Linked DNA regions of Ovis aries. The protein of the gene in region 3 interacts with the protein of the main gene of each other region in a pairwise test. Links are inferred from orthologs where the notes say so. Each region holds a gene or a part of one and is shown on either strand. Other genes may lie near its edges.

Region 1 (7,711 bases), on a different chromosome or scaffold from region 3:
GTGAAGGCAAGGGTGGGGAGGGTACAGTGGGAAAGGCCTTTGATGGTGCTTGTGTTCCTCTGGGTCTGGCCACCCACAAGGAAACGCTCAACATACTTACATGGAAAGATCTTCTAGTTTTATTATGATTAGTTTAAAAAGAAAGTTCCAAATATACAGAATCCAACCTTTTGTATTAAAAGAGTGTGAATAAAAAAAATTTACATTTTTATTTGATTCTATTTGTGAAAAAACAAAAACAAAAACTCTGGTTGAATAGACAAGAAACTAATAAAAGGAATTACTTTTAGGGAGGTGATAGAAGCTCGGTAGATAGAAAAGGAAGGGGCACTTTTTTCAGATTAACACTTTTCCTATTTAAGAAAATTGTGGAGGCAGGCTAGCTAGACCTGGTTATGGAAAACCAATAAAAGAAACGTGGATGGAGGCATGGGCATACACACACATAAACACATCATGTCTTACCAGACACAAGCTGGAAAGGGTTCCCACAGTTGGAGATGTCTGCATGATCAGGCAAAGGCTAAGAGACACAGAATATCCATCATGATTCAAGATCAGGACAGAGTTCCAGGAAGCCCCTTCAGCTCACCCCTGCAATTCATGGGCTATAGGGATATTAGGGACATCTAAGTGTTCTCTTCTTATCCTCCCAAAGTTAGTGAGTAAAATAATTCACATCTTCCAGTATCTCAAACCCTTCTCCACCCAAATTTTAGTGGCCCTTCTCTTAACAGTAAGAAAAACCTTGCCCCCTTCCTTTTGGGCTAGGTTTTGAGCCTTTAGCGGGCACATCCAGTACAAGTACCATGATTCATACAACGCAGGACAAGGGTGAAGTAGTAACAACAAATAGCCTCAGAAAAAAGGGCAAGGGGGTCTTAGAGAAGTGGGAAGACTGTCTTTTACCAGACTGATGCTGAAGCGTGTGCATTTCAGCTCATCCAGAGTCTGCTTCTGTAGCTGCTCAGTGATCAGGGTTATCATGATTCTCCCCAGGATTTGACTTGCACACTTTGGAGCAAATGATGGATGTCTTCCCTGTTGTTCTTCCAGACCTCACTCATGAGCTGTCTTCTGCCACTGCAGCACCATTCTAGCACCATTGGGACTTCCCTTTCCAGTCATGCCTGCTGAGTCTGCCAATTACAGATGGATCAGCCCCAAGTGATATTAGAGATGTACCTACTCCAGAGATGGAAAATGCATGGCACACATACCCCAGCATCCCTATGTCAGGCCTCTGGCACACATCATTAACTGATCACAGCTCTTTCCGGCTAAGCCTAAACATAGCCTCGGAAACAGTCTCAACTTGGCACTCCGGATAACCAGTATAATAAAATGGAGTTAGCAAGCAAGTTGAAACCTATTTGCCACTCCTAACCTGGTTCATGCTCTGCTCTGCCTACCCAAAATACCAGCACCACTTAGAAAACAGCTCAAATGAGAGAAATGCCCACATTGTTATATCCTTCTTGATTAGTCCAATATTTTATCTTCCAGTCAAAAGCAAGGAGAGGTAGCCTTTTCCTAAACTACAGAAATAGCAACAGTGCAGTGGCTGTAGGAATGACTTTCTACTTCAAAGCAGAGTAAACAAGGTATTATATTCTCCTTCACCCTCAACAGCGGATATTACATTATTGTTCTCCAACAGATACTGTACATATTCTCTTATATGAAGACAAGAAAATGCTACCAGGGTAATTCCATTCACATTTCAACTCTATAGGTGTTAAAAACAACAACTCTAACTTCATTCAACTAAGTTTTTAGCCTGATTTGACTCAAAGACCATGAATACAATTAATCAAGACTCTTTCTCACGGTCAATTACAGTAGAAGCAAACTAATTCTATCAGAAAACAGGCTTCAAGCCCACACAATTGCCTGAGGGACCTCAATCAACGGAGGAGGGGAAGTTAATCTAACATTTCCATACTGTTCTGCCTATTCCCAGAAATGACCAGCAGGCAGACAGCAATCAGACAGAGTAAGTAGCATTTGCTAGCAGAGAGAACAAACTATCAAGACATCAAATCTGGATCCGATTTGCTGTGATGGTCTTGGCAAATCATCAAACTTTTCTTTCCCTCAGTTTACCCATATGAAAAACGGGCAGAATAATCTTAATCTGTCACAGGGATAATGTAATGCAAAATATCAAAACATAAGAAGTATACCACTTGGCCTGAACAAATCAGAAGTCCACACAGACTGCCATTTCTCACCCTTCCTATTTGTTGCTCTACAAAGCCTCAGGGTGCTACAAGTGATAATATTAAGATGAAGAAGGCAATTGGGTTGATTTATTTGGCTGAGTATCAACCTCCCTCACTCACATGCCAAGAAAAGCCCAAAAGGCTTGACCTTGAGGGCAGATAACTTTCAACCCTGGCCAAAAAAAAAGGTGGAGGGGGGGAAATCCTCTCTACTAGATTTCCACCTCAGAGGGAGGCAGACCACAAGGAAAAGCAAAGAAACACACTTCGATGTACTTGGAGTTTAGGCAAAAAAGAGGCAGAAGTCAACCACCACTATAGTCAAATAATGTTTTCATGCATAATTATTATTACCACCCTGAAGTCCCAGTTTCCTGAGCGCTCTTGAGCGCTCCCTTCGGCTGCTTCCCCCATTCTTGTAGAAGCTAAAGCTTGTATCACTTCTGCTCTTGGTTTCTTAACTCTGCCCTCAAAGACCAACCAGAGAGGAAACCTAAGGCAGGCTTTTACCCCCAGAGACCCCAGGCCTCAGGCTGACCAGCCATGAGGAGCACGGAATGAAGCAAACTCTTTCAAGGTTTTCATGAGGCATTTGGCCAAATAGCAAACTTCCAGCCCTCTCTGGGATCAAGAGAGTGATTTTGTGTTTTTCTGCATTTTAATTGTTGGGATGTGGCCACACACGGCGGTAATTAGAACAATGCAACTACCACCACGCAACTGATACTTTCAGTCTGAGTTTCCTAAAACAGGCCAGGCTGAGAGGGGGAACAGAACGGAAGCCATAAGGAATCAAACCAGGACACAAAAGAAGGCAAACCAGCTCCGCGAGGGGCCTCCTCTTTCTCAGGCAGGCAGAGAAAAAAGAGTAAGAAGCCCTCTCTTGCCGTCTTCCTTCCCCTTCCATTTTGTGTATCTGAGGGGCACAGACAGCCCTGAACGTTCACTAAACAAGTTAAAACTTCTCAGCTTAACAACTGGCATGGGGCTAAGCCCAACACAGAGCAGCAGGCCGCTAGGCCCTCCCTCAAACCCCACCAGGCCCAACTCTCAATCCAGGCTTTCTCTGCACCATCACCTGTCCCTCAAATAAAGGTTGGACCCCCACCCCACTGGGTGGCAGTAACCCCTGACATAAGGGTTTCAGGGATGCTGAGGTTGTGCTGAAACCTGGATAACCTAGGATCAAGTCAGGCCAAGGAAGAAGAGAGTCAAAAGCCCCTGGAGACCTTCCCCCTAGGTCCCAGTCCCACACTCTGGGGGAGACTGAAGAAAAACATGAGGCAGAGAGGCACACGAACAGGTATGTGGGGACCTGAGTGCTTTTTCTCCATATGGCACCGGTGGGCATAGGAGTGACAAGTGGGAGCACCCCTCCCCCCACCCCAATGAAGAAGCAAAAGGCTAGGCCCCCCTCTCCAATCTTCAACCTCTCCATCGGTTGCTCTGCCCGTCCCCGCGGGGTGGGGCATGGGGCGTCCGCTAGCCCCTTGGGGTGGGGGGGGAGGGCGCCACGGCACGCTCAGGGGGGCTGTCGCTCGCCTGTTCCCAATCAGCTCCCATCATCTGGCCGCGGGGAAGCGAACTCAGGACACAGGGGACGAGAGGGTCTGGGACTTAACACTCCGCCACCCCCTCCCCCACCGGGTCCCGTGCTCTCCCCGCGGAGGCGGCCAGCGAGGCCCTGCCTCGCGGGCGGACGGGCTGGGGGAGGGGAAAGAGGGAAGGAGGGAGGGACGGTCTAGGTGCCCGCCCCGAGGCCCCAGCGCCACCTGCCCTCCGCCACCTACCGCGGCTCCTCCAGTTCCCAGGGCCGCGGCCGGAGCAGCTCTGAGCGCTCGGTTCGCCCCACGGTGCCCTTAAAAGGCGCCGGCGTGAACCAACGGGTCCCTGAGGAGAGTGGAGCGATCGCTCGGGTTGGGAGAACCCCCCCTGAACCGTCCGCGGAGGCTTGAGCCCCGCGTCGTTTTTCTCGCAAAGTCTCTCTTGGATAGCGCCGTCGGAAAGAGGCCGGGCTTTTTAATTTAGCGATGAGGGTGGTTTCCTCCCTAGGAAGTCACCCCCTACAGAATATTGCGGAAGGTGGACTGGGCCAGTCGAACGCAAATCTCGAAACTCGCGGGGGAGGCCGTGTTGGTCGAAGGTAAACAAAGCCATTGCTCCCGCCCTCTGTTACTACATCAGCCCATGTACAGCCCCCAACTCGATTCCGGCAGCGTAATGGAATTAGCCAGGGTTCCTCTCACCTGTTCTCCTGCCCCCACTCTCTAAGGCCTCCGCTCTGAAGGAATTCCCCTTCCCCCAGCAGAGGACCCGTCCGCGTCGTGAAGGCTTCTGGGAGGCGTAGTCCAAGCTCCGATTAGGGCCTGCTCTGAGTCCCAGGAGCCCCTCTTCCAGCTGCCGGATCGGCTCGAACCTTATAAACCCAGGACCTGTAACGGTTGCGGGCCGTTCCCACTTGTTTGTGTAGTTAGCTGTCACTCAAAATACTGTAAATCCGACGAGGGCCCAGGGCTGTTCACTCCTTCTCCTCTCTTTATGCCCCCACCCCCAGCAGGATGAGGTAATGGGATTGTGATTATGACATCATAGGCGGTTCAGTTGCTTGCGTGGGGGAGGGGGGAGAAGGGAAAGTACGGTGGTTACAGCTGGACCACTTTCTTTTTTTTTTTTTTTGATTTAATAAAGTTTTATTTTTCAAAATGTACAGCTGGTGGGACCTGTTCATGCATCTTCACCAGCAGCTGGGGCATCTCCACCCTTGGTGTTTCTGGTGTAAATCACTTGAGCTCTGTGCTTTGAAACCAGTTTAATAAGTCCTTTACTAAGGAGTTCCTGAAGGGCTGCTCTGGCCAGGGAACCACGAATCTTCAGTCTCTCAGAGACCACAGCTGGAGTTATAAGTTTATAGTTGGGAACTTCTTTACAGAGTTTGTCATATGTTGCTTTGTCAAACAAGACTAGGTTATTGAGCTTGTCCCGAACTTTGCCTTTGGACCACTTCTTCTTTTTGGCCTTGCCCCCAGATTTGTTCACTGGATCTTTGTCTTTCTTGGCCGACTTTCCGGCATCTTTCTTCTTCTTGTCGTCCTTGGGCGGCATAGCGAAGCCCGGAGAGCAGCTGCAACCACTGCCGCCTCGCTAAGATGTCGGACAAAAAGCTGGACCACTTTCTTTAAACCTTTCTGGGAGGGAGGAAACAGGTCGCTGGGGGAAAAGATATTGATAGTGCTATATTTCCTCTTCAGGAAGAGAAAATCACCTTTTATTAAGTCTCCATCGCTACCAGTACCTCCTACTCAGCCAAAGTTTAAGTCCTTTTTGAAGAGACTGAATGTAGCAGTTGATAGGTGAAGAGGCTGTGAAACAGCTAGGTGGTTTCTGGCTCTTAAGTAAATTTGAGTATCAGCTATCAAAGAAGGTTTAGACAGAGGGTAAAACATGGGAAAAGGAGAGGTTTTAAACAATGCCTTCGTATTATGATCTTTTTGTGGGACAGAGTTTTAGATTTTTAATCAATTGGAAAGTAGAAGTACTGCAAGTAATCTTCACTATTACATTCAGCAAGAAGTCCCCTGAAAGACACGTTTTCCCTAAATATTTCATGCACCACTGAAGTCTGGGACAGATAAGTAATCGTGACCAGCTCAAAGGTAGAGCCAATGGTGGGGATCTTCCTCAGAAAGATAGGGAAGGCAGGAAGCAGGAGTGACCAAATCTGCAAAAAGAAGAGTAAAGGAAAAGTGAAGTATTTATCAAGAAAATACGCAGAGGAGGGGGTTGTGATAGATACACTGCACATTTGTTTGCCCTGCACATTTCTCCTTGGCAAAAGAAGGGGCAGGGACCATGAGTTGTAGAGGAAACGATTTCCAGTAATTGCTGCTATGAAGCGCTTATGTGCCAGGCACCGTGCTGCATACTTTAAATATGTATTCTCATTTTTGTTTACAATCATCAAATGAGAGAAAATTTCCTTGTTTGACAGATGAAACAGCAAGAGAGGTTACGTAGCTACCCATGTGGTGGACAACGGTCATATTAAAAAGCTATCTGGGACTCTAAAGCCCTTGGTCCTCACCACTAGGTAAATCTCCCTTTTTATTTAATAATAAAATATCATGCTTACTAAAGCTAAGTGATTGACACCCATTTCATCAAGTATAAAACAGTGTCCCCAGTGCAGCCCAGCCTCTTCCCCATTTCTAACAACTAGATCTCTTTATCCCGCTTTTGGTTCAGGGTGTTTTTTTTTTTAACTCACATTCTCCATATTTTTCCCCCTGTTGTTCCATTTTCCTTCTTTTGTTCTTGGGCTACTACCTTGAACCCTATCATAATTGTGACCTCCTGGGCTAGACCCCATCTCTGACCCTGCTCCAGTGGGTTTCAGCAGAGGATACTACCTGGGCTCCCTCCTACTCTTCATCCTGATTCTCTGAGGGTTCCAGGGCCTGGAGCCAGTCATCCAAAGGGGTGGAATCCATTGGCTCTAAGAGATTGTCCATTCTGCACCTAGGAAGGCAGCAGAGTCAGAGAAATGTGCACTTCAGTCAGACTCTCCCTTTTCAGCCAGTGAAAGTGAAACCTCTGCAAAGTGGAGAGAGATAAGGCTTAGTCCACCACTCAAGGAAGGAACAAGGAATAGTGCACACACCCCTCAGCCTGCAGAGGCTGGCTGGGAGGGTCCCAGGAATGTAGGGCTCTTCTCCACTTCCTGATCTGGGCATCCCAGGAGCGACGGCTGTACCTCCTGTTCTTGTTTGGTGTTTGAGGGTGAAGTCCTGGCTGTCGCTGTGCCCTGGCAATGACAAATGTGTCAGACTAAGGTCACGGCCAAGGGGCACAGCTTATTGCTTATTATGGTGAATTAGGAGACTCATTAGGGATTTCCTGAAAATGAGGTAAGATCAATGTCCTCAACCCAAAGAAAATGTTTAAGTTAGATTAAATATCAAACTTCCCAACTCTCTAATATTCTTTCTTCTGGGTAAGCTAAATTAGATATTCCAAGTCCCTCACTAGTCAAGGTAGATACGGAAGAAAGTACTTGATATCTCTTTAAAACATATTCTACCTTTTCATTCATTAATTTGTATATATGCTTGTAAGCTTACATGTAATTAGTCAGGTATGTTGTAATTAACAGTCAGATGGAGGCATGGGCCTCCCAGGTGGCACTAGTGGTAAGAACCCTCCTGCCAATGCAGGAGATGTAAGAAATGCAGGTTCGATCCCTGGGTTGGGAAGATCGGAGGGCATGGCAACCCACTCCAATATTCATGTTTAGAGAATCCCATGGACAGAGGGAATCCCCTGGGGCTGGGGTCCATAGGGTGGGAAAGAGTCGGACACAACTGAAGTAACTTATCATGCACACATATGCATGAGGTGAAAATGGAAGAAAAAAACGAATAGAGCTTTGAGTTGTCTTATGGGCCAAGTATAACTTGTTCCATTTGAAAAAAAAATCTTGGAAATTTATT
Region 2 (7,532 bases), on a different chromosome or scaffold from region 3:
GATGCTGGGAGGGATTGGGGGCAGGAGGAGAAGGGGACGACAGAGGATGAGATGGCTGGATGGCATCATGGACTCGATGGACATGAGTTTGGGTAAACTCCAGGAGTTGGTGATGGACAGGAAAGCCTGGCATGCTGTGACTCAACTGAACTGAACTGAAGGCTTGCCTAGAGAATCCCATGGACAGAGGACCCTAGCAGGCTACACTCCATAGTGTCACAAAGAGTTGGACACGACTGAGCGACTAACACAGGCTTTTATATCTCTTCGATTTCAACGCACTGCCCAGATTTCCCCAAATTTTTATCTCCTTTCCCATAAGAAGTTTCTCCTTCTATACTCTCCCTTCCTCTTCCACTCTTTGTTTCTGATTTACCAAGAAAATTTTGACTGGTCTTGCCCATGTGTTAAGTACTAGAAAGGGAAAAGTGCAGAGCCAGATCTCTGATTCAGAAGGTGGAAAGAACAGTAAAAACTAGAGAAGGGCAGGGCTAAGAAAGCATCCTCATAGAGACCATCATTCTAGTGGTAGAATTATGGAAATAGGGGTAGAGCTAAACTGACAGTCACAAACTACTCTGCCTCTGACTGCCATGAAAGAAAGTGAAGTTGCTCAGTTGTGTCTGACTCTTTGCGACCCCATAGACTGTAGCCTACCAGGTTCCTCCGCCCATGGTATTTTCCAGGCAAGGATACTGGAGTGGGTTGCCATTTCCTTCTCCAGGGGATCTTCCCCACCTGGGGACTGAACCCAGGTCTCACGCATTGCGGGCAGACGTTTTACCATCTGAGCCACCAGGGAAGTCCTAACTTCCTGACTGCCATGACCTCATTATAAATCCTCATCTTGGCAGACAAGATGGTACAGCAGTGATCTCAGGACAATTGGAAGTGACAGATATAACCATGGAGAGGCTTGTTGCTCCTGCTATTGCATTCCTAGCTCATGAAACCAGACAGCAGATGTAAGCCAGAAAAGGGATAGTAGAAGCTACAGGGGAGTTGAGGGGCCATAGCCAGGCAGCGATGCACAGGAGCTGGCAAATACTGTTTTCAGAGGACCGCAAGGGGAGAGTAGTATGAGGACTGGGGATGATCTTTTACATCCATCATCTTTTATCAGCTTTCCTAGCTCAGAAAGTTTTCTGAGGATAAAACCAAGCCCTGTCTGGCTCCCAAGACCACATGCTGCCCCGGGCCAGGGTCCATGTTTTGCTAAGTGACTGCCATAGGCTTACGAGGTGGGGCCCCTACAAACAGGGGCCCTGAGACTTTAAATCTTATAAGCTCTCTTCTGAGAGTGATTATCAATAGTCAGGACCTAACAGTGTGGGTATAAGGCAGGCTCAGAGCCAGTCATGCCTCTGTCACTGACTGATCGTGCAGACTTTGGGCAAATGGCTTAAACTTCTTAAACGTCGATTTCTTCATCTGCAAAGTGGAACTGTGAGGTTTAAATGGCAGAATGCAAACAGCCTACAACCTAGCACGTAATAAGGACTTGATAAGTATCATCATCATTATTACTATATGCTTGACTATCCATTGTTTCCGTGTTACTTGAGTTGAAAACGTTTGTGAATGAGAGGAGGACAAATATCCGGTTAGGAGCTGGAAAAAAAAATTCCAGTCATTGGTTTCAAATGACCAGCACCAGCCTTGGAACTTTAGTCACTACTGACTCTCACTTCTAAAAGCCATTGGAAAAGTACCACCCCCCATGCGGACTCCACCTCATTCTCCGCAGGTTCTTACTTCTTAGAAAAGGAGTATGATTTTCTAACTCAAAACCTGAGATATATGTCCTGACAAGTACTCTTAAGTCTACAAGAGGACAATGGTATGGAATACTTCAGTCTGGTTCTAGTTTAATCATGCTAGAAAATGAGCCCAGTCAAAGGGGACACTAAGGCAATAAAAGGACTTACTCAGTGGCTCTCTCTCCACAGCTCCAAGATGGCTGACACCTATTTCCACAAGACACTCGCTGGGTGAAGACAGTGCTCTTAGCATGCTACTTAATAGGAGAGCTTAGTGATAAAGAACCAGTATACCTTTGCAGGAGATATGGGTTCCATCCCTCGGTGGAATATCCCCTGGAGAAGGAAGTGGCAACACACTCCAGTATTCTTGCCTGGGAAATCTCATGGACCGAGGAGCCTGCCCGGCTACAGTCGATGGGGTCACAAGAGTTGGACATGACTTAGGGATTAAAACAACACCAATCAAGAGTAAGAGTAATAAGTATTATCAGCCATTGACATCTTGAGGAGAACTATTATCAAGATCCCCTAAAAGGACTCCGAATAACAGCTTAGGGGAATGTGGCAAGGACAGCAAGGAACAAGAAGTGATTTGTAAATTGGTATGATACCTGAATGTGATGCCACCCGGACCCCTGATACGCAGAAATGGAGACGGGAAATTAATCAAGTGACGGAGGGAGTTGGTAGCGGTTTTGATTCCTAATTTTATCTAAGTCTGGTTTTGCCCCTGTGAATTTCAGGGCCTCGAGGTCTGACGTCACCTCCAGGTAGCCTCCCACCAGCCTGGGGTCCGGGGATGGCAGGAATGCAGCGGGTGAGGACCAAGAGCTGTGACTGCATCTTTTTCTCGAAATCCCCCCAGGGGCCCAGAGTTGGATGCTCCCCTACGGGCTCATCACGTGTGCAGCCCAAGCAGTGCAAACCCAGCAGAGGTCTGTGGTCCCCGGGCGCTAGGGTGGTTTTTAGGGTTTTCTTTCTTTATGATTTCCCTTCTTGTTCTCCACAGTTGATGATTTTCTGCAGAAAAACGGCTGAGAAAAAGAACCTATTTCATTTCCAGTTCCCATCACTGCGATTTCCACATGGATGTGACGTTCAGTCCAGCTTCCGAAATGCCCAGTTGACTCACGCGGGGACACCCCGGGGCGGGGCGCAGGAGTTTCTCTGGCAGCGCGGCGGGGCGGGGCGGCGGGGCGGGGTCGGGGCGGGGCGGAGTGCATCTGGCTTCCCGCTCCTGCTGCGCCTCCTGCGCCCCCTAGCGGCGATATCAGGGCTGCGGGAGTCTGGGGCTCGTGTCACGTGACTGGAAAGTCCCTGGGTGGAAATCCCCGCTGTCCGCGGGCGGTAAAACAGAAAGGGAAAAAAGAGAACTGGCAGTCGGCAGCCTTCGCGGCGGCCAAGTGCGACAAGCTAGGAGGCCTTGGGGGCGGAGCGGCGAGAGCAGCCGCCGGGAAGACTGAGGTGGCAGCAGCAAAGGAGATCTACAGCCCCCGGCCGGCCCGCCGGAGAACTAGACCGAACCAGGCGTCCATGGGGAGCCGCCTCCACCCGGCCCCGACCCGAATTGCGACCCCAGTCTGCGGTGCATGCTTGTCCTGACCTGGACTTGGGATTTCTGAAGAGGATCGCGCGGCCCGAAGAGGTAACCCCGCGTCCCTGTGCCTTCTGCCACGGGCTCTCCCGGGACAAGGGCTGCGGGTGCGAATTTGGCAGCGACCCGCGGGCTGGCCCCGTCGACTTGGCCTGGTTTTGCCGCTGTCCCAGAGGGAAGTTTGTTGGCCGTTTGTGACCCCCGTAGGTTCTGAGCTGCTGAGAGTGCAGGTGGCCGCCAGATGTTCGGGTGACAGCCTGTATTCTAGGATCCAGCCAACTGTTCCTTGCAGCTCATGCAGAGAACTTGAACGGCAGTTGCTTGGGGGAGAGTCGCCCCCCGGAGCCGCTTGGTCCGGGTGGTCATCGGTGCTTTGCTCTTCGGCTTGTCCCTTTTGGAGTCGAGCTCTGCATGCTTACGGCCACGTAGACCTTGCAGAACCGCCTGGCCTCTTTCCAGACTGTGCAGCACCGGTCCAGAGGGGTGGGATGTCGCAGCGGCAGCAAAATCTAGGGGGCGGGGGGCCCGGTCAGCTCTCCTTTCCGGGAGGGCTTGCAGACACTCAGAGGGCAGCAGTGTCAGAGAAGTATGCATGGAGCAGGAGGTCGTCCGCCTGCCTTGGGGGGTGACTCCAGTTTAGAGCATCTGCAAGCCCCTACCCCCAAGTCAGACTGTCTTTGTCAGCCGGGGTCGTCCCACATCCTGCCACCTGGCCTTTCAGGAAAGCCGCGGTATTAAGTAAGGAAGGAGCGCAACTCTTGTTGAGACCGCTTTGTTTTCAGTTCTCCCTGCCTCTGATCTTTCCTCGGAAAGCCACGCTGGTCAACTCTTTCAGGGCAGCCTTTTGGGAGAACCAGTGTTTGAGTCCTCTGGACCAGAGCCCCAATGTCCCAGATTATTAAGCAGCCAGTTACTGCTTCATTCTTGTGTCCTAAGGTGCTGCTTTATTTTTTGTTTTCAATTCTTTGTACAATTTTTGACTTTTTGAAGTAGTACTTTCTGAAAATTTAATATCTGTTGGTAGGCCAATGAGGTATCAGAAACATGAAAGAAATGTTATAGGTGATATTGTCTTTGCGAATAAGGACATTACATTCATAGCTCAGAAATTCTTTACCACAAGTCAGATTATTCTTTAATCTCAAGTGTGGAGAAGTCTAAGTCCTGGACACTTAGGCAATGGGCATTGATTTCTTTTAAGGAGGCAATGCTGCAGGCCATTCAAGGCTACACCAATGAATGAGGTGACACTGGGCTGTCAGATATTGACATTTGCATGTCTTGCCTGTGGTTCTAGCGCTCACTGTTTGAAAGATCTTAGGTGCAGAAGAGAATAACAGAAGAGTCAGAAAAGCAAAAAGAGGCTACACCTAGTTTGTTTCGGATCTTCTTGCCTGTCTCCATGTGAGAGCAGCAGGTACTGCAGCCACAGGTGTGGTGTTGTGAGATTAACAAGGAGGTGGGTTTGGAAGACAGGACTTTTAGGCAAAGCCCTGCCCTTGGATGGTGTGGGAGCTACCTGAGCAGGACCAGTACTGCAGGTGCTGTAGCTGGAGACTATGATAGTCATGTGACTTCATGCTGGGGAATAATGTTATCTTTGATCTTTTGCCTCAGCACCAAGCTGATGGTCAGGCAGTAGAAGTATGTGGTCAGGCCATGCTTGCTGAGTGATGGATGGACAAATGAATGACATCATGAAAGAGGCTTTTGCCATGCCACCAAGGGGGAGCGTGTGTGATGTTTTTATCCCTTAGTTGTGTCTGTGGCCTTGCCATGCTTTTGCCCAATTCCACCTGCAAGGAATGTCTGACGTCAAAAAGGAGAGATTACCATTTGACCCAGAGAATGACTTCTTCCAGGCATCATCTAGCCAGCAGATTAGGAAACCTGATCTAAATCTACCACCAGAAGACTCCTCAGAAGGAACCTTGGAGTCATCTAGTCCACCTGTCTCCCTGGAGTGGGCCATGAGAATTTAGACCATTTTATCAATGTCTTTAAGAAAGCTGAGACCTACCCCAGACAGGCTTTCTTGTAAGAGGGAGGTTTCTTCTCCCTCTTAACTTGGTTTAACTTCTTTGTCATCTAGAGTCTTGCCCTGGAAAACAGTATGCTAAAGGACTGGGATTAACGATCACAGTGAAACTTCCTAGAGGCTCAGTTCGTGCTCTGAAACTGTCTTTGTCCTCATCTTGGAAATTTGGATGGATGGCAGGGCACTCTGCTCAGGGTCAGTGAATGTCAGCTGGCTCTCCACAAAGAGATGAGCTGTAAAGTCCCACGTTAAATCTATTCACATCTTCCTATGCTATTGTCATGGATTGGAGATGCTGGGGTTATCCCCCTCCTCTTTCATTTGTTCCGAGTGGCCCCCTCTGGCTGCAACTTCTTTCCTTGTCTGCTTCCAAACTTTTATTTCTTTCCACTGGTTGATTGTGCTTGAAGATTTCAGGATGAAGACAGGGTGAGAAATCAATCTGAGTATTGGTAGCTGGAAGATGATGATAAAATGGGGTTGGCTGTTGAGTTTAAGTAGTACAGTTAATTCCATCATTGCATAGAATTATTCTATGCTTTTACTATCTGCCCTTGGAAGTATAGGATTTATTATTCTAGTATTGTTATTATTCTAATTCTTCTTCTGATGTTGTAAAGTTCAGTGAAGAGGTTCTGAGAGACTGCTAACTGTTTGCTCTTAAAATTGGAAAGCATCCTTGCTGGGAGTAGACTTTTTTGTTGGTTATAAAACATTCAGTTTAACTCTCTATGTAAATATGTAAATAGCATTTTATAAGTAAATGCTTTATAAATGTTCCTTTTGGGGACTATAGAGAAAACTCCAATCGACAGCCTACATAGCAGCATAAAATTGCAGGATTTCTCACAAAATATTTGTTGTCTTTCCAGTATAGGGAGGGAGTGCTTGAAAGAGGTAAATCAAGACATGGACTAAAAAGAAGGGTTGCTTGGTGGTGCTCTTAGAAGAGGAGCTGGCTTGTCAGGGCTACATTGTGCCTATAACCAGCATTCAGGGCACCTCAAATCCAGTGTTTGCCCCCAGAACAGCATCAGGATGAGACAGGAGTTTCAGTCGGTTAGAAGGCACCATACCTGTTGCTGACAGACAAGCTTGGCTCCCTGACAAACGTTACTGAAAACACGGGTTATTCCCCTCCTCCTCATTGCCCACTCCTTCTCTTGTTTAGACTAATCTTTAAAAATGATGTAACTTAAAACTGTCCAGTGTGAGTTCATCTTTGGGGCCAGCTAGTATCCTGGGAGTAGAGGTGACTAAGATCTTTTGCCTGCTGCTCAGGGTAATGACAAGATCAGACAGTGGGGTTTCCTGCAGGCAGGTATATAGGAGTCATATCAAAGTCAGACTAACAGCGTGGGGTTTTCTTTCCCTCCTCTTCAGGTATTGGAGAGCACCATGGCTGAGCAACTCCTTCCTCTGGCCTTGTATTTGAGCAATATGCGGAAAGCTGTGAAGATACGAGAGAGAACACCAGCAGATATTTTTAAACCTACCAATGGAATCATTCACCATTTTAAATCCATGCACCGATACACTCTGGAAATGTTCAGAACTTGCCAGTTTTGTCCACAGTTTCGGGAGATCATCCACAATGCTCTCATTGACAGAAACATCCAGGCTTCCCTGGAAAGCCAGAAGAAGCTCAACTGGTGTCGAGAAGTCAGGAGGCTTGTGGCCCTGAAAACAAATGGTAAGATGTGCTTTTGTCTAGGCGTTGAGGTGGCTCCTACCATGCTGCGTCCCTATTTATTAAAAGGCACCGGGCCCAAATCAAATCTCTTAAGGCTATAGGTACCGAAGTATAGAGACACTCTGAGGGGCATGTGACGAAAGCAAGCTTGCTTTGTGAGTATTTGAATTAAGGGTGATTTCTAGTGCATGTTAGAGAGCAGAGCACACTGAACCTTGGAGAATGCATTTCTGGACACTGTGTTAGGTGTATGTGTAGGGTATGTAGGTATGACTTCTGTATCTAATTCTTGTGACTATTTAATCATCTGTGAAATACCCTTCCCTCACGAGTAATGGAAATATCAAAAGGCTTTAAAAAGTTCAGAAGAAAAAGCATGGTGTGAAAATCAATAGTGTTTTCCACTGTCATTAGAAAATGCTCGTGATGATGGCCTTACACTTC
Region 3 (7,397 bases):
TGAGCCTCTCAGCTCTGGCACTGAACCAGCTCCCAGGTCTGTAGACAGATTCCTTGTTTCCACAGCTAAAGACTGTGAATAGCCTTCCATTTCAGATGAGGAACAGGCCGACTCTAATCTAGAACTCACCATGGCTGGGTGGAACGTTGAGTTTAATTTCTCACTTCAAAGGTGAGGAAATTAAGAACCAGAGAGAACACAGGTCTTGCACATAGAGCGGAGGGCCAGGCAGAAGGCAGAACGGCTAGTTCTCCACCTCCTTGCTCCACGTTTCTTTCATCAGTACCACACAGAGTGGAGGAGGAAACCAGAATACCAAGCCATTTGCTCTATGTCATGTCACTATGCCTGTAAAGCAGCCCTCTAAGCAGCTGGGGCCACTGGGCAGCTGCAGCAGTAAGCCTAGAGTCTTAAAAAGAATTGAAAGGGAAAGGAAGGCAGGGCCATCAGAGATGGGTCTCAACACGGAGACTGCTGATAGCCTTCCTGTTTCCCTTTAGAACATCCTTTTCTTTGCATTAGCTTTACTTTTTCCCCAAACAGATTTGGCCTGGATTTTTTTTTCCCCCCTTTCCATTGAACTAGTCAGGGAAAGAAGTGAGGTGGAGAAAGGCAGCCTGAAATGTGCCAGAAAGTTCCCGAGATGTAGCTTCTGGGTCCTGAATCACTGGTCCTGAATCATTTAATCCACCTGCGGACAAGCAGGGTTGGCTGTAATGGTTCCTTCTCACAGACCTGGGATGCCCAGGCCAGAAAGACTGAGGCCTGTCCTGCAGGGAGGAAGAGAAAAGAAGAGGAAGGACTTGGCAAACAGGCACGTAAGAGACAGAAGGAAGTGGGAGGGTTTATTCACCAGCAGGATTGCATGTTGCTGGGTAGTGTAGTAGGAGAGGAGGGACCAGATCCCATGTTGGAGGAGGGGTGAAGAGAGCTATTTCTAGGCTCTTCTCAGTCAGGCCATCTCCTCCACTCCTGCCAGAGGAGTCTCCCTGAACACACGCGTGTTCATTCATTTCTTCATTTCACACATTCTACATACGGATGCTGTGCCAGGCGCTGTACTCAGCACTGGGAAGCAACGACAATGGAAACCAAATGCAAGTCTGGTCATTTCCTGCCCTGGTTAAAATCTCTCACAGGTATTCTATTTATTTGGGAAGAAAGACTTCATTCCCTGCCCTGCCATTCAGGGCTCCCCAAGTTCTGGAACTCCCCAAATTCCATCCCCAGTCCCTACTACCCATCTCTTCAGGCACCAAACACACTGGATTCTCTGTCTAACAATACATATGTCAGGGAGGAATCTGCCTCTGAGTCCCCTGCTTGTCCCTTCTGCCTGCTTTCAAATTCTACAGATCTTTTCCTTTTCTTAAAAAGTTTTTTTTTTCTTTTGCTTTTCATTTCACGTTAATTAATTAATTTATTTTAAATCCTATACATCTTTAAGGGAGTGGGTTGGAAATATTTCCAGCTCTTCAGAACCTCTTCCTGGGAATTCCTTGGGGGGTCCAATGGTTAGGACTGTTCTCTTGCTGTGCAGGGCCTGGGTTCAATCCATGGTTGGGAAGCTGCCTAGGAGCAGGCCAAAAAAAAAAAAAACAACCCACCAAACAACAACAGAAAAAACCTTTTTCTATCTAGCATGAAAGAATTAAAAAACAAAACAACAGTGCTTAACACATTCTGAATTCTTTGAGGGCAGGGTTCCATGCTATCTTCCTCCAGTGCTCAGCATAGAGCCTGGACTATTCCTTCACAGAAATTCCCTCTTTCTCAGTTCTCATACACAACACTTCGTGCCCATTAATTTTTTTTAACTAGTTATAATTTTCTAACGTACTCTACACATTATTTAGCCTATTTTCTTGGGCAGAATTTTGTGTTGTTGATCACTGGTGTACCGCATTGCTTAGAACAGTGCTTGGAACATAGCAGGTGCTCAGTAGATAAGTACCAAATAAATAAAATGTGCACTCAAAACTTTGGGGTATGTGAGCTACATGGAATGTCAAAAAAGGGAAGCATGTAAGCAAGAATTAGTCAGCCTGACCCCATCGTGTATATCCTACGCGGGGAGAGAAGTGTTGGTCAACCCCCAGACAGAACTCAGTGGTAAGCATCCATTGGCTCTGGTAACGCTCCACCCTGGAGAGGAAGAAAGGGCTCCCCAGGGGTCAGGCTGCAAACAGCTGCATCCTTTCCGTGTATTAACCAGAATGCCTGGCCAGTATTTGTCTTTCCACATTTCCACCTGTCAGGTCCAAGAACCTCGAGGCGGGGAAGGAGAGACGGAACCTTGTGGGGGAGGGTGGCAGTCCCCCCAAGGTTTGGCTCTTTTAATTCAACCATCTCTGAGGTGAGTACCACCCAGACAGTTTGGATCAGTAGTGAATGCGTCCCATCTTCCCAGTCTCCCGGGGGCCTGCTGTTTTATCTCGGAAACAAGGTCTAGGGCTGAGGTCCTGGCCCCCCTCCCCCAGTAATTTCCCGGAGAATATGGGGCGGGGCCGTGAATCAGCACTCGCTCGGACTCGGGCAGCCTTAGTCCCCGCCAGGGGTCCCCAGTAGCCGCGGAATTAGACCTCCCCAACCCGCCCCACACCACCTCCTCAATCCTCCTTCATCTGTCCCGCTATGACCACTGGGAGATGTAGTCTTGACCGCCCCTTTGTCCTTGATCTCCCCAACATATTACCCCATCCCAGGGAGAACTACAACTCCCAGGGGCCCACGAGTCGGGGGCCTGGCAGGGTTGGGGTCTGCAGGTCCAGGGTGGGTGGGGGACCGTCTGGAGAAGCTAGGGCGCAGCGAGCCGGATGAAGTGAAGCACGGGGCTTGTCGAGGGGCACCGGGGAAGAAGGGGATACCCGGGAGGCGGTAGCGAGCTGAGCCGGGGAGCGGAAACCCGAGAAGCGGAAGGGGCCGGGGCGGGGCCGGGGCGGGGGCCTTGCGCGGGCTGGTGGGCGGGGCCGTCTGCGTCACGCGGCGTGGGCGGGGCCGCAGGGGGTTGTCCGCCCGCCGCACGCACAGCCGCCGCAGCCGCCTCGCGCCCGGTCCCGCGGTCGCAGCTCGAGTCGCAGCCTCCGCGCCCGTCGCCTCGAGCCGCTCACGTCTCGTGTGGGTCGGTCCCTCCAGCACACGGGCTCCAGCCGCGTCGCAGCCGCCCTCCGAGCCCTCCAGGCCGTCCCGGATCATCCTCGTCCGGCCCGACCCAGCCCGTGAAGATGGTGGACCGCGAGCAACTGGTGCAGAAAGCCCGGCTGGCGGAGCAGGCGGAGCGCTACGACGACATGGCCGCTGCCATGAAGAACGTGAGTTTCCCCTCCCCTCCCCTCCCCCTCCGCCTCGCCCCAGCCCCTTCGCGGCCGCGGGCCTTCGCGGGCTCTGCCCGGGGACTAGTCGCCCGTCGGCGACTGCAGGTCTGGATGCCCCTGAGGGGGCCGGGGAGGGTCCCGACAACGCTGAGGACCAGGTGTGTGACGCGGCCTCTCCCCGAGCGTCCCCTAGGGCCGGCGGCCCGGCCGCCTCGGCCCTCCCCGCGCGCCCAGGCTGGGGCGGGGTCTTTTCGGGGCCGGTCTCGGGAGCGGGGTCTCTGGCCGCCGCGCCTTCGGGTCGGCTTGGGGACCTGAGCGGGGGGCCGTGCGCATCCTTTGTGCCCCACTTCCCCCTCCTCCCACAGCCTGGGCGTGTGGGGGCGGGGGACCGCATGGATGCGGTTCCTCTTTTCTCCCTGATGTCTGGGCGGCGCCTTTCCCATTCACTCAGCAGGTCTCCGGGTTTTCTAATACCCCCCCCCCCCCGCCCACCCACCCCACTCCCCAAATGTTCCCACTACCTTCTGCAGACAGATCCTTTAGAACCTCCTCGAGAAAAAATGAAGGGTCTCCTGAAAATCTGGACTCAATGGTGCAAAATCGAAACCTCCATGCTCACGTTTTTCTTAACAAAAGGCTCCCCTCTCTCCATTCCCCAAAGCAAGCCCTCTTCTTGCCTTTAGGAAGGGGGGCACGTTTGTCTCGCTAGCGTTTTCATTGATTGTTCTCAATATGTCATCTCCATTTTTTTTCTTACTGTGCTCGTACTGAAAGGGTAGGTATTGTCTCTAAAATAAAGGTTGTGAATTTAGCCGACTGGTTCAATTTGTGACATATGCTGTTTCTTTTTTAAATACAGGCACACATCTGTTGAAATTCCTTTAAGTTGAAAAAAATATTCTCTCTGATCTGATATTGCAAACAAAGCGGTGGTGGGAGGCAGTATCAAGTCATTCCAGAAGATTCTGCATTTGTCATATTGCAGAGAGCCTAGACTGGGTGGAGGCTGGGGAGGAGTTATTTTAAAGGGGAAAAAGTCTTTTTTTTTTGTTTTAATTTGTTTTGTTAGACACATCTGAAGCTTAAAAAAAAAAAAGCTAGCGCATCTTCAATGCTGATGAAAAGAGAATACTGATCTCCAGTTGTCGCATTTTGCAGATTCCTGCCTGTATTGCACCACTTTGTCAGTAATGCTACATTTATCTGATGGGCGGTCAACCGGTTTGATATTAGAGGGGGACATATTGAGCATTACTAAATGAAACATATATATCTAATGATTTCAGTCTCACTATTTTAATATCTAACTTCCTGCCTTATGTAACAAAGGTTTTAAAATGCATCTCCAGTGTGCAGCGGATACAGGAGTGTACCTTGCACATGAAACCTCTTTAATGAGGCGGTATAGGCATTACAGATTAATTAATTCTCGAATAACTCTACTGGTTCACAGGAGATGACAAGGCTGATGCCTTTACATTTAAACCAGCTACATTAGCAGAGAAGATTATCTCATTAAGGAAGAGGATTGGTTCTGAAATTGGGAGTACTGCTGTATTAATATACTGTCACAGTCGCTGTCTTTATAAGGTGCAAATGATAAGTTGCACTTCAGTGGATATCAATATCATTTATCGCGTTATTTAGACTCTTCTAATTTTTCCATATTTCTAGTTTCACAGGAAAGCGAGTGACCTCGCACCTATATCCATAGCAACCCAGTGATGTCACACACAATGACACAGAGGCTGCAATGCACCTCAGGGCTGGTAGGGAGTATGCAAATGGCATTTGTCCAGGGTAATGCAGAAATTAGCAGATAAGCCAGGTGGAATTGAGCACTTCCTCTTCCGCCAGAGGAGAATTGGTCCCCCAAAGAAGAATGTCCTTTATCCTGACACAGGCACACCAGGGATCTCTGGATATGCCTGTTCACCTTTCCTATTTCCAATTTTCTTGAAAGTTTATAAGATACAGTCATGTTTTTAAACATTCATCTCAATAATAACCTTGGGCATTGAAGGACTAGAGATGGAAAATTTTAAAACAAGAATATGTTTTATACTCATAGTGTAGGGGTATATGTGGGTTTATTGCAGATTATTAACTTGGCAAGTTTTAATAGAAACCTTAAAAAAGATTATGACTTCCTACTGGGACATTTTCAGTAAACGTTAGGGAATGAGAATCTGCTACAGACACCAGCTTGAGATTTGGAAAGCTTCTCTTGCTATGCTTATGCTCCTTAATGGAGTATGGAGGAAGGAAAACAGTTTTATAAAATAAAGCAGACATTTTTCCAAGCAAATCTGTTCACTGTGATTTTGAGGAATTGGTCTTACGTCTGACCTTCCTTTTCTCATCTGTAAAATGGGTCAACACCTACTTGAAACAGTTGTGAGGATTAAATAAAAAATGTAGATGCTTTAAAAAGGTAACTAAGCCTTGTTTCTTTGTTTATATAAGTCACCACAGAATTTGGAAAATACAGGAAGATAGAAAATACTCAGTCCTACCACTAAAGTGAGTTCTAAGGTTGAACTCATCCAGATGCTAGAGTGGTGAAATTTATTCCTATCTAGTGAAGGTACCCTAGTAATAAACGGGACCTGTGATAGTTATAGGTGTGCAACCAAGATAGAAATAATACGTATTTTGAAAAAGAGGAAAGAAGGAAGTTTAGTCTTTTCAGACACGTGTAGGCTTGTATCTAAAAAGAAGCGATCACCTAGATATTTCCTACTTGTTAGACAATACTGACTTGTCCTTTGGATTTTAACAGCCTCTTGAGCTACTTGTATTTGCCTTGGGAGGGGCTGGGGAGAAAAGGTTCTAGGCAACTAATGTTGAAGTTACTGGGATAAACATTTTATGGTGTGTTGGCGGCAGAGGGGCATTAGTGGCAAAAGTCTATCCTAATTATGTAAAAATGCCTTCCTAGCAGAATCTATATACTTAAAAAAAATTTTTTTTAACTATGTTAAATATTCTGTTTTTTTCTGCTAGCTCTTCCAGGAGGCTAGATCAATAGCCATTATCACTAATGGAGTAATGACACCTCTGTAGCCTCTTTGTGGAGTTCTGCCAGCCATTATTATAATCGAAGTCATGTGGCTTCAATTGTTCTCTTTGGAGTGGAAGAATACAGATAACAGTTGGCTTTTTGTGTTCACCTTCCCGATAACTTAAATGACTGCTAAGTGCCTCTTCTAATTATTTAAACAATTTCATATGGGTTTTTTTTTAATCGAGATAAAAGATGTTGCTCAATGTGCATCTTCATTACAGTTCATTAGATTAACTGCAGACCCTGGGAGGATTTCATCTTCTGGTACTTGGAGGAAGCCTTATTTATTTATTAAACCAAACTCTAGTTAAATTACCAAAAAGAGTGGAGAAAATGATTTGAGTCTTTTTTGTTGAGGTAACAGTCACAGGGCATAAACTAACCCTTTTCAAGTGTACTATTCAGTAGCACTCTAGAAAAGGGAAAAATGATATTTTTAAAAAGTGACCATGGTTGGCCATAGCTGGCTGGATTTCAGCACATGATTACTGATTCAGGAATGTGTCAGTAATGAAGTACTCTCAGCCAGTGGTAATCAGTATCCCTTTGTCTTTGTTTTCTAACATCTGAACCTTTTCAGCCTAAACTGAAAAAAAAAAAGGAGGGGGCACTTCTTTTGGCTTGGTTTGTATTTCCATTTTAAAAGTTCCAGAGCTTAAAAACTGTGATGCTCATCCAAATAAGAACAGTTTACCTGAAATCTGAGCAAACTATTATTGACTATTTGGAGATTATAGGAGTTATGCTGGTGTTCTTATGATCACTCATCTTCCACCCCAAGGCTGACTGACTTTGTTAGACACACTTGCCCTGCTGTGTGGCGGCAGTTCCTGCAGTGTTGAGAGTCAGGAGCTGTTCACACATGGGCTTCTCATAAGTAAGATGCTAAATATATTGTTTTGGTGCTTCTGAGTGGCCAGGAGCAATGTTTTGCCTCTGGTATGATCAGTTCTAACACTTTTATCTGGTAGGGCATCTGATTACTTCTGTATTCCTCCCAGATTCCATGAGATGAG
Region 4 (6,911 bases), on a different chromosome or scaffold from region 3:
AAGCTGAGAACATGTAGCTTCCTTGACAATGTATAATTTCATAAAAATGAGTAAGCCCTTACTGCTGAGGGCAGAGGAACATAAAATGCTAGGTTTGGTAAACACAGCAAACACAGACAGCATGGTGACTGTAATAATTAATACCATATTATTAACATATATTTAAAGGTTAAGAGAGTAAACTTTAAAAGTTCTCAGCACAAGAAAAAAAATTGTGCTGTGTATGGCGACAGCAGTAACTGGATTTACGGGGGGGTTTATATTCACAACATATACAAAATATGAAATTATGATATTGTACCCTGAAAATAATATACATCAATTATACCTCAATAAGAATTTCAGAAAAATAAATAAAACCAGGAACACAGGTACAACTTGGATACAAAGTCAGCAGACCAGGTGCTGGCATCTTTGGGAGGCCACTTGTCATTTTCCTATCAGTAAAAGTGTTAACTTTTCTCAAGACAATTTTGGACTGGCTTCAAGCACAATTAAAATGATGCTTCAGTTCCGAAAATGAACAGTTAGTCTTGACAGTAAGGACAGACTGAGAACTTCAGAGAGAAATGATAAGAATCTGACTCCCTCAATAGGGCTAAGATATGTGGTCAAATAGGGCTTCCCAGGTAAAGAATCCACCTGCCAATGCAGGAGACACAGATTCGATCTCTGGGTTGGGAAGATCCCCCGGAGGAGGGCATGGCAACCCACTCCAGTATTCTTGCCTGGAGAATCCCATGGGCAGAGGAGCCTGGCAGGACACGGTCCAGGAGTTTGTGAAGAGTTGGACACAACTGAGCAACGTAACACAATAAATGTGGTCAAATATATTAATAATTTTCTGGAAAAAAAAATTTAATGAAGGGTGTTTTTTTTTTTAAAGTTGGGAAGTGAGGGACGAAGTGCCAGTGGATACACTCAGGAGTTAGGTGGGCAGCTGGCAACAGAAAGTCTGATTCTTAGTCCCCAGCACTCGAGGAGCTCGATGTGAATCAGCCACGGGAACACATAGGGCCCTGCAGACCGGCCTCCTTATCTGCTCAGCTCTGGTGCTAATGCAAGACAGAGGTGTCTCTCCGGTAGAATTAAAAGGCTCCAGAAGCACTGGGTTTTCAACAGAGCCTCCCTTCTAACAGAAAAACAAAAATGGTGAAAACGAGGTTCTGTGATACTCGCTGTACTTTTCCAGGCTTCCATAGGCAATCCAACGTTTATCTACACGTAGTTTGTTCACCATCTCTCTGTACTTTTTATCCTGGAAAAAAGACAGGCGCTCTCTATCCTGCAGATGAATGAGGCCTTTGATGTCATGCAAATGTTAGCTCTGGGCCAAATGCGTCTGATCCTGAAAGTATTACACGTAGAGAATTAGAGATTTAAATGCATTGACCATTTTTATTTTGCTATGCGGAAACATACATTCACCAGGGGCTGTGCGATGCAGTTGACAGTGAAATGGAGAATATATCTTCTTGAAGGCTATTTATAACTCAATGCTAAATAGTTTAATTACAGTGGAAATTCTGTACAGTTTAAGGCTTGGCTCTGAACTAGATTGTAAATATGGACCAGATTTGGAAATAAAACACTTTTTTCAAGTAAAAAAAGAAAATTAAAAAAAAAAATACAAGGAAGGAGAAATGAAGAAAGGAAACAAAAGCAACTGAAGCCCAACGAGTTTTCCTGGAGTGAAGTTTCATCATTATGGTAAACTAACAAAAATACAGGTTTTCTTTCCAAAATAATGACATTTTACATATTTAGGACTTGTCAGGGTACCCTGGGAAGCTTTCCAGATTGAACACGGACCAAAGCAGATGACAGGGAAGAAATCACATTAATATGCTAAAATCAGTACTACCTTATAACGAATTAAATTAGATTACACAAAGCAGGATTGTGAGCATTAAATATTTCCGGAGAGTCATTACCATTAATGGGTGAGAGTAATAAACCAGAGGAAACAAATAACAAGATTCAAGTTGTTTACTGAATAAACTCGGTTATTGGCACATCTAATCTGGGAAAAACCTGACACAGTGGACCTAGACAGCTTCTAGCAGTTGAGGGTAATCTTTGTTGATCTGTAAACAAAAGATTTGCCACCTAAGAAACTGCAATTTTGTTTAGACTTTAATCATCATCAGCTATGAAAGGCATGGACTGCTGTATGTGTTACATGAGATCACGGTTTGTATTGTTGGTTATGAACGTGCAGGTGGAGCCGAAAACGGAGACACGGTGTGAAAAGTAAAAATGCTGCTCTTTTTGTAACTGTATCGTTGCTTCATGCAATATCGGTTTAGTGGTGCTGATTCAGATTGCTTTATTATGGGAAGATCTCTCTGCCAGTGTCTTTATCAAATGGTCAAAGTCAGTTCTTCTGGATTGAAATTGTCCATGGGCAGATACAAGTCAGTGGGTTAGAAGAGGGAACGCCATATAGACTCTGTTTTTTCCTAATGGTTTGCATAACTGGCTTCGTGTGCAGCCTAGGTTATTCCTGTAGAAGAGAGATTTGATCAGTTACTCATTTGAAAATACATGAGAGTTTCCCTCAGACTGAAGTCAGGTGGCAAGTATCTCACAAGGTTATTAAATGCTCTTCTGGACAAGATACTGTAAAACACCAGTGTATGTCATGGACAGGCTTCTTCTGAAATAACCTCATCATTACCCAAGTTGCTGACTGCACTGAAAAGAAACTTTTTCTTTTTTTGCTTTCCTTCTTAACTTGAATATGATGAGTGATTTTTACATTCTTCCTTTGAGAGAGGCTACTTATCAATCTAGGTTTCTAAACCAATGTTAGAGAACTAACTTCCTTTACACAGGTAGAGCATTTAAAAGATTTTTATTACATAACCAAGTGTGCAAGGAGCTGCATTCAGCATTCAAAGCCCTCCAAGCATGTTCAGTGTTCATCAAGTTCTTGCAGGTGGGTTAGTATGCATAACAAGTCTGAGGACACACAGGAGATGCTGTCTGCTTATGATGCTGGCCAAACAGCAGCTGGAAAGGCATGCGTTTCCTGAAGGAAAGCAGGACCACAAGACTGCATTTTTGCCTCCTCCTGAGACACAGTGCTACACTCTGGGGAAAAAAAAAAACCATCCCAAAGTACATAGGAAAATAGATGACATCCACAGTGAGAGTGAGTGGTTTGGTTTCAAATTGTAAAACGAAGCAAAACAAAAGCATAAACAGGCCAGAACCAAACACAGTTGACGAGGAAGCTAACAATGGGATAATGCTGGCATTAGAATGGGCATCATTTTATTTCCCTAGTGTTTGGAACACACAAATTGCACCTCTCAGAACAAAACCATATTAGAGCTGATTAGGCTACATGGCCAGTGAAATCCAACAAACACGACCTTTCAGACCTGGCTAATGAGAGGAGCATGGACTGAAAGGGAAGACGTGCAGGACCATGCAAGCAGTCTCTGCTTTCTCTTTATCCTCTAACTGGCAGGGGGGACATCAAAAGTCCATAGCATGGAGCCTGTTAAATCTCAAACAAACCAGTATCCACACACCAATTCTCCATCCTCTTGATATCCAGCCCTGCAAATGCCAGTGAGAGAAAAAGGAGAAAAGGAGGAGGTGAGGGGAGGGAGAGAGGGAGGCCCCGGGCCACATGCCAGCCAAGGCCAAGCCTGGAGAAGCAGCACCCACCTCTTACCTGGGCTCAGTCTTCTCCATCCTCCGGGCTGATCTCTGTCTCTTTATGGACCACTACTTTGGTCACTGACATGTCAGGATGCTGCTCTTTGGCCTCTTTAATTGCCTGAGCCAGCGCCTATCCCCGGGAAATCACAGGAGGGCAGAGACAAAAAGGAGGTGGAACATGCATGGTCAGAGCAAGGAGGAGACTCATGAGCTAGATCTATCTACACAACTCACAAATGGAGTACAACGACTGCCAAGGGGCTTATACTTTGTGTGCTGGAAAGTTAATTCTGAAAACTGACTACAGGCTGGACTAGGAGGATGGCTCTGGGCAAAGTAGGGCCAGCCGGTCTTTCTCGAGGTTCCCTGCCAGGGTATCCACCCTCTCTCACGAGATACCTGGTCATGGTCAATGTCCGCGTCTCCAGTGATGACGATTCGCTTCTCAATCCTCGTCTCTGAAATGCCTCCTTTCACAGTCTGAAAGCAACAGACAAGTGTTACGACGTTACCGTCCCTGTTGACTGGGGGAAATGGTAGAAAATGCTGACTCGGCTTTAAGTAGCTTCATTCATTCTTTAAAAGTGGACATGGACTCCTATGGCAGTTATTTACAACTGTTAGTTTCAGAAGCAAAGACAGAATAGATCCCTTTGGGTTTGGCTGGCTGGTGTTTCTGAAACGTCTGTCATATGCGAAGCAATGGAGCTAAGTGCTACGCCAAGGGTGTTGAATGCATGTTCCTAAGCAGAACTCGGCAGGTGAGGATGGAGGCATCATAAACAGCAGCTGTGAGAGCTCCAAGGCAGTGCTTGGCATCCTGGTATTCATGCAGGTGCCTGCAGGTGCAGCGCAACCTGGGGGTTCTGCACGGACACCTCCCTGGATCTGTTCCCAGTCCACTTACTTTGGTGATGTGGGTGGTGGTCGTGGTGCTGGTGGTTTCAGATGTGATGGTCTGCGCGCTCATGAGCACACCTGGCTCCAAGTCAGCACCAAGATCGACCTAAGCAAGCCAAGTGGGAGACACGACACATTATCTCTCCAGGATGCCCGCTCTGTTGCTTGAGGGCATGGTGATGACTTAGTTATCTGCACAATCACTGTGCTTCCCTGATAGCCCTGAGAGCTGCCACTGACTCTAGACTGGACCAAACATGGCCGCTGTGAACTATCATTAAAACCAGGACTTCAAAAGATAAAAATATAAGAAAATCCTTGTTGGGAGGTCTCTGGTGGTCTAGCAGTTAGGATTAGATGCTTTTATTGCAGTGGTCCAGCTTCAATCATTGGAAGAAGAACTGAGATCCTACAAGCTGTGCTGCGTGGCCAAATTAAAAGTGAAAAAAAAAAAAATTCTACCCAACCAATCCTAAAGAAATCAACCCTGAATAGTCACTGGAAGGACTGATGCTGAAGCTGAAGCTCCAATACTTTGGCCACCTGATGCAAAGAGCTGACGCATTGGAAAAGACCCCGATGCTGGGAAAGATTGAAGGCAGGAGAAAAAGGGGACGACAGAGGATGAAATAGTTGGATGACATCACTGATTCAACAGATGTTGAGTCTGAGCAAACTCCAGGAGAGAGTCGACAGTGAAGGACAGGGAAGCCTGGTGTGCTGCAGTCCATGGGGTTGCAGAGTTGGACACAACTTAGCAACTGAACCACCACCACCACCGCCTTATTTATGAGATTTATGTGGGATGTTTGTAGAGTATGTGGTACATAATAGGCTTACTAAATGGTCACTATTGTTAAAAACAACAAAAACACAAAAAAGCATGACTTCAGAAGTGTAAGCAGGGGCCGGTGGAACTAGTGCTTTTCCTTATCTAAACAGTGAGGGAGATGAGATTTCTGAGCCTCTTCCTACATTTTGGCTTCCCTCATAGCTCAGTTGGTAAAGAATCCGCCTATAACGCAGGAGACCCTGGTTCGATTCCTGGGTCGGGAAGATCTGCTGGAGAAGGGATAGGCTATCGACTCCAGTATTCTTGGGCTTCCCTTGTGGCTCAGCTGGTAAAGAATCCACCTGCAATGTGGGGAGACCTGGGTTCAATCCCTGGGTTGGAAACATCCCCTGGAGAAGGGAAAGGCTACTCAACTCCAGTATTCTTGCCTGGAGAATCCCATGGACAGAGGAGCCTGGCAGGTTACAACCCATGGGGCTACAAAGAGTTGGACATGACTGAGTAACACTTTCACTAATTACACTCAGGTGCACGAAGGCATGCACGGGGTGAAACAGGTGCCAGGGCTCTGGGCTTCTTAGACTCTTACCTGTGCTGATTCATACGTTATGGTTTTTGTTTCTGTGTGAACTACCGGCACTTCCTTGGTAGAAATTTCTAGCTTTACTTCTCCTGGTGAAACGCTGCCAAAGCTGATGGTTTCTGTCTTCACAGTTGAAGACTACACCAACGGGAAGGAGGCAGAGTGGTTCTTAAATTTTGCACAGACACATATATTTTCCCCCTCCCCTCTTGGTGGCTATATAAGCACAGGTTAGTATGAAATAAATGTTTATGTTTTACATGGGGGTAAGTTGGGGAATGAGGCATACAACAGATATATGTGAGTTTCCCAGAATTCATATGGAATGTTCCAGGTAAAGGAAAACATTTTGAAGGAAATTGAAAAAACACCCACATTTTTATATTCCCTCTCTTCTATCTCAAGAACTAATTTTAATAGATTGAAAACCATAAATTAGCCTTTTATTCCATAACTTCTTAGAGAAAAGGAGCAAGTAATAAGACATTGAACCACCCCTGCCTACATATACTTCTGAGATCTCAGTAAAAGAAAACAAAGAATAAACTCTAGCACTTGGTGCCTGGGCAAGCCTGGCTGTGGCCCTTCTGGATAAGTACACTGATCGGAAATAGATCTATCAAGTTTTCTAATATCTTGGCTGGCCATGCATCTCCCAGGTTTACTGCCAATTACAGTAATTACAACAGTAAGAATTATTTCCTGGAACTGTAGATTATTAATCATCATTATCTATGTTTGCATGTGATCCCAAAGATGGAAACCAGCACGGAGACCCACAGTTGCCATGCAAGAAGGCAGTTAAGAGGAGAAACAAACTGCTCTTGGAAAAGGAAGAAAATTATCAACACGTAGCCCCGCCTTTACACTTAACTAAATTTTAGGGACTTGCTTTAGTGCTACAAGGAATATTAACTATTAGTTACCTCAAAATGAGGTTTTTGTTCCAAAGTTTCTGAA

Evidence for each region.
Region 1: the proteins of YWHAG (region 3) and FAM53C interact in binary tests that used the Homo sapiens proteins (3 or more experiments, as listed by UniProt). The link is inferred for Ovis aries from reciprocal best matches to the Homo sapiens genes YWHAG and FAM53C.
Region 2: the proteins of YWHAG (region 3) and TNFAIP3 interact in binary tests that used the Homo sapiens proteins (3 or more experiments, as listed by UniProt). The link is inferred for Ovis aries from reciprocal best matches to the Homo sapiens genes YWHAG and TNFAIP3.
Region 4: the proteins of YWHAG (region 3) and EPB41L3 interact in binary tests that used the Homo sapiens proteins (3 or more experiments, as listed by UniProt). The link is inferred for Ovis aries from reciprocal best matches to the Homo sapiens genes YWHAG and EPB41L3.

Annotation. Positions count from the first base shown.
Region 1 is NC_056058.1:47,404,577-47,412,287, reverse strand, and holds the start of FAM53C (protein FAM53C), read right to left. Parts: upstream 4,058-7,711; 5' UTR 4,016-4,057; intron 1,140-4,015; 5' UTR 988-1,139; coding exon 910-987; exon of another isoform or gene 524-909; coding exon 466-523; exon of another isoform or gene 1-465. Other genes in the region: small ribosomal subunit protein eS25, read right to left, coding at 4,950-5,327; oocyte-specific histone RNA stem-loop-binding protein 2-like, read right to left, coding at 6,644-6,740, 6,883-7,026.
Region 2 is NC_056061.1:63,022,343-63,029,874, forward strand, and holds the start of TNFAIP3 (tumor necrosis factor alpha-induced protein 3), read left to right. Parts: upstream 1-3,141; 5' UTR 3,142-3,408; intron 3,409-6,778; 5' UTR 6,779-6,793; coding exon 6,794-7,088; intron 7,089-7,532. UniProt on the Homo sapiens protein: Ubiquitin-editing enzyme that contains both ubiquitin ligase and deubiquitinase activities.
Region 3 is NC_056077.1:34,830,983-34,838,379, reverse strand, and holds the start of YWHAG (14-3-3 protein gamma), read left to right. Parts: upstream 1-3,035; 5' UTR 3,036-3,224; coding exon 3,225-3,311; intron 3,312-7,397. UniProt on the Homo sapiens protein: Adapter protein implicated in the regulation of a large spectrum of both general and specialized signaling pathways. Binds to a large number of partners, usually by recognition of a phosphoserine or phosphothreonine motif.
Region 4 is NC_056076.1:39,339,502-39,346,412, forward strand, and holds the end of EPB41L3 (band 4.1-like protein 3), read right to left. Parts: coding exon 6,878-6,911; intron 6,090-6,877; coding exon 5,958-6,089; intron 4,682-5,957; coding exon 4,583-4,681; intron 4,156-4,582; coding exon 3,880-4,155; 3' UTR 3,806-3,879; coding exon of another isoform or gene 3,695-3,805; 3' UTR 2,507-3,694; coding exon of another isoform or gene 2,501-2,506; 3' UTR 1,379-2,500; downstream 1-1,378. UniProt on the Homo sapiens protein: Tumor suppressor that inhibits cell proliferation and promotes apoptosis. Modulates the activity of protein arginine N-methyltransferases, including PRMT3 and PRMT5.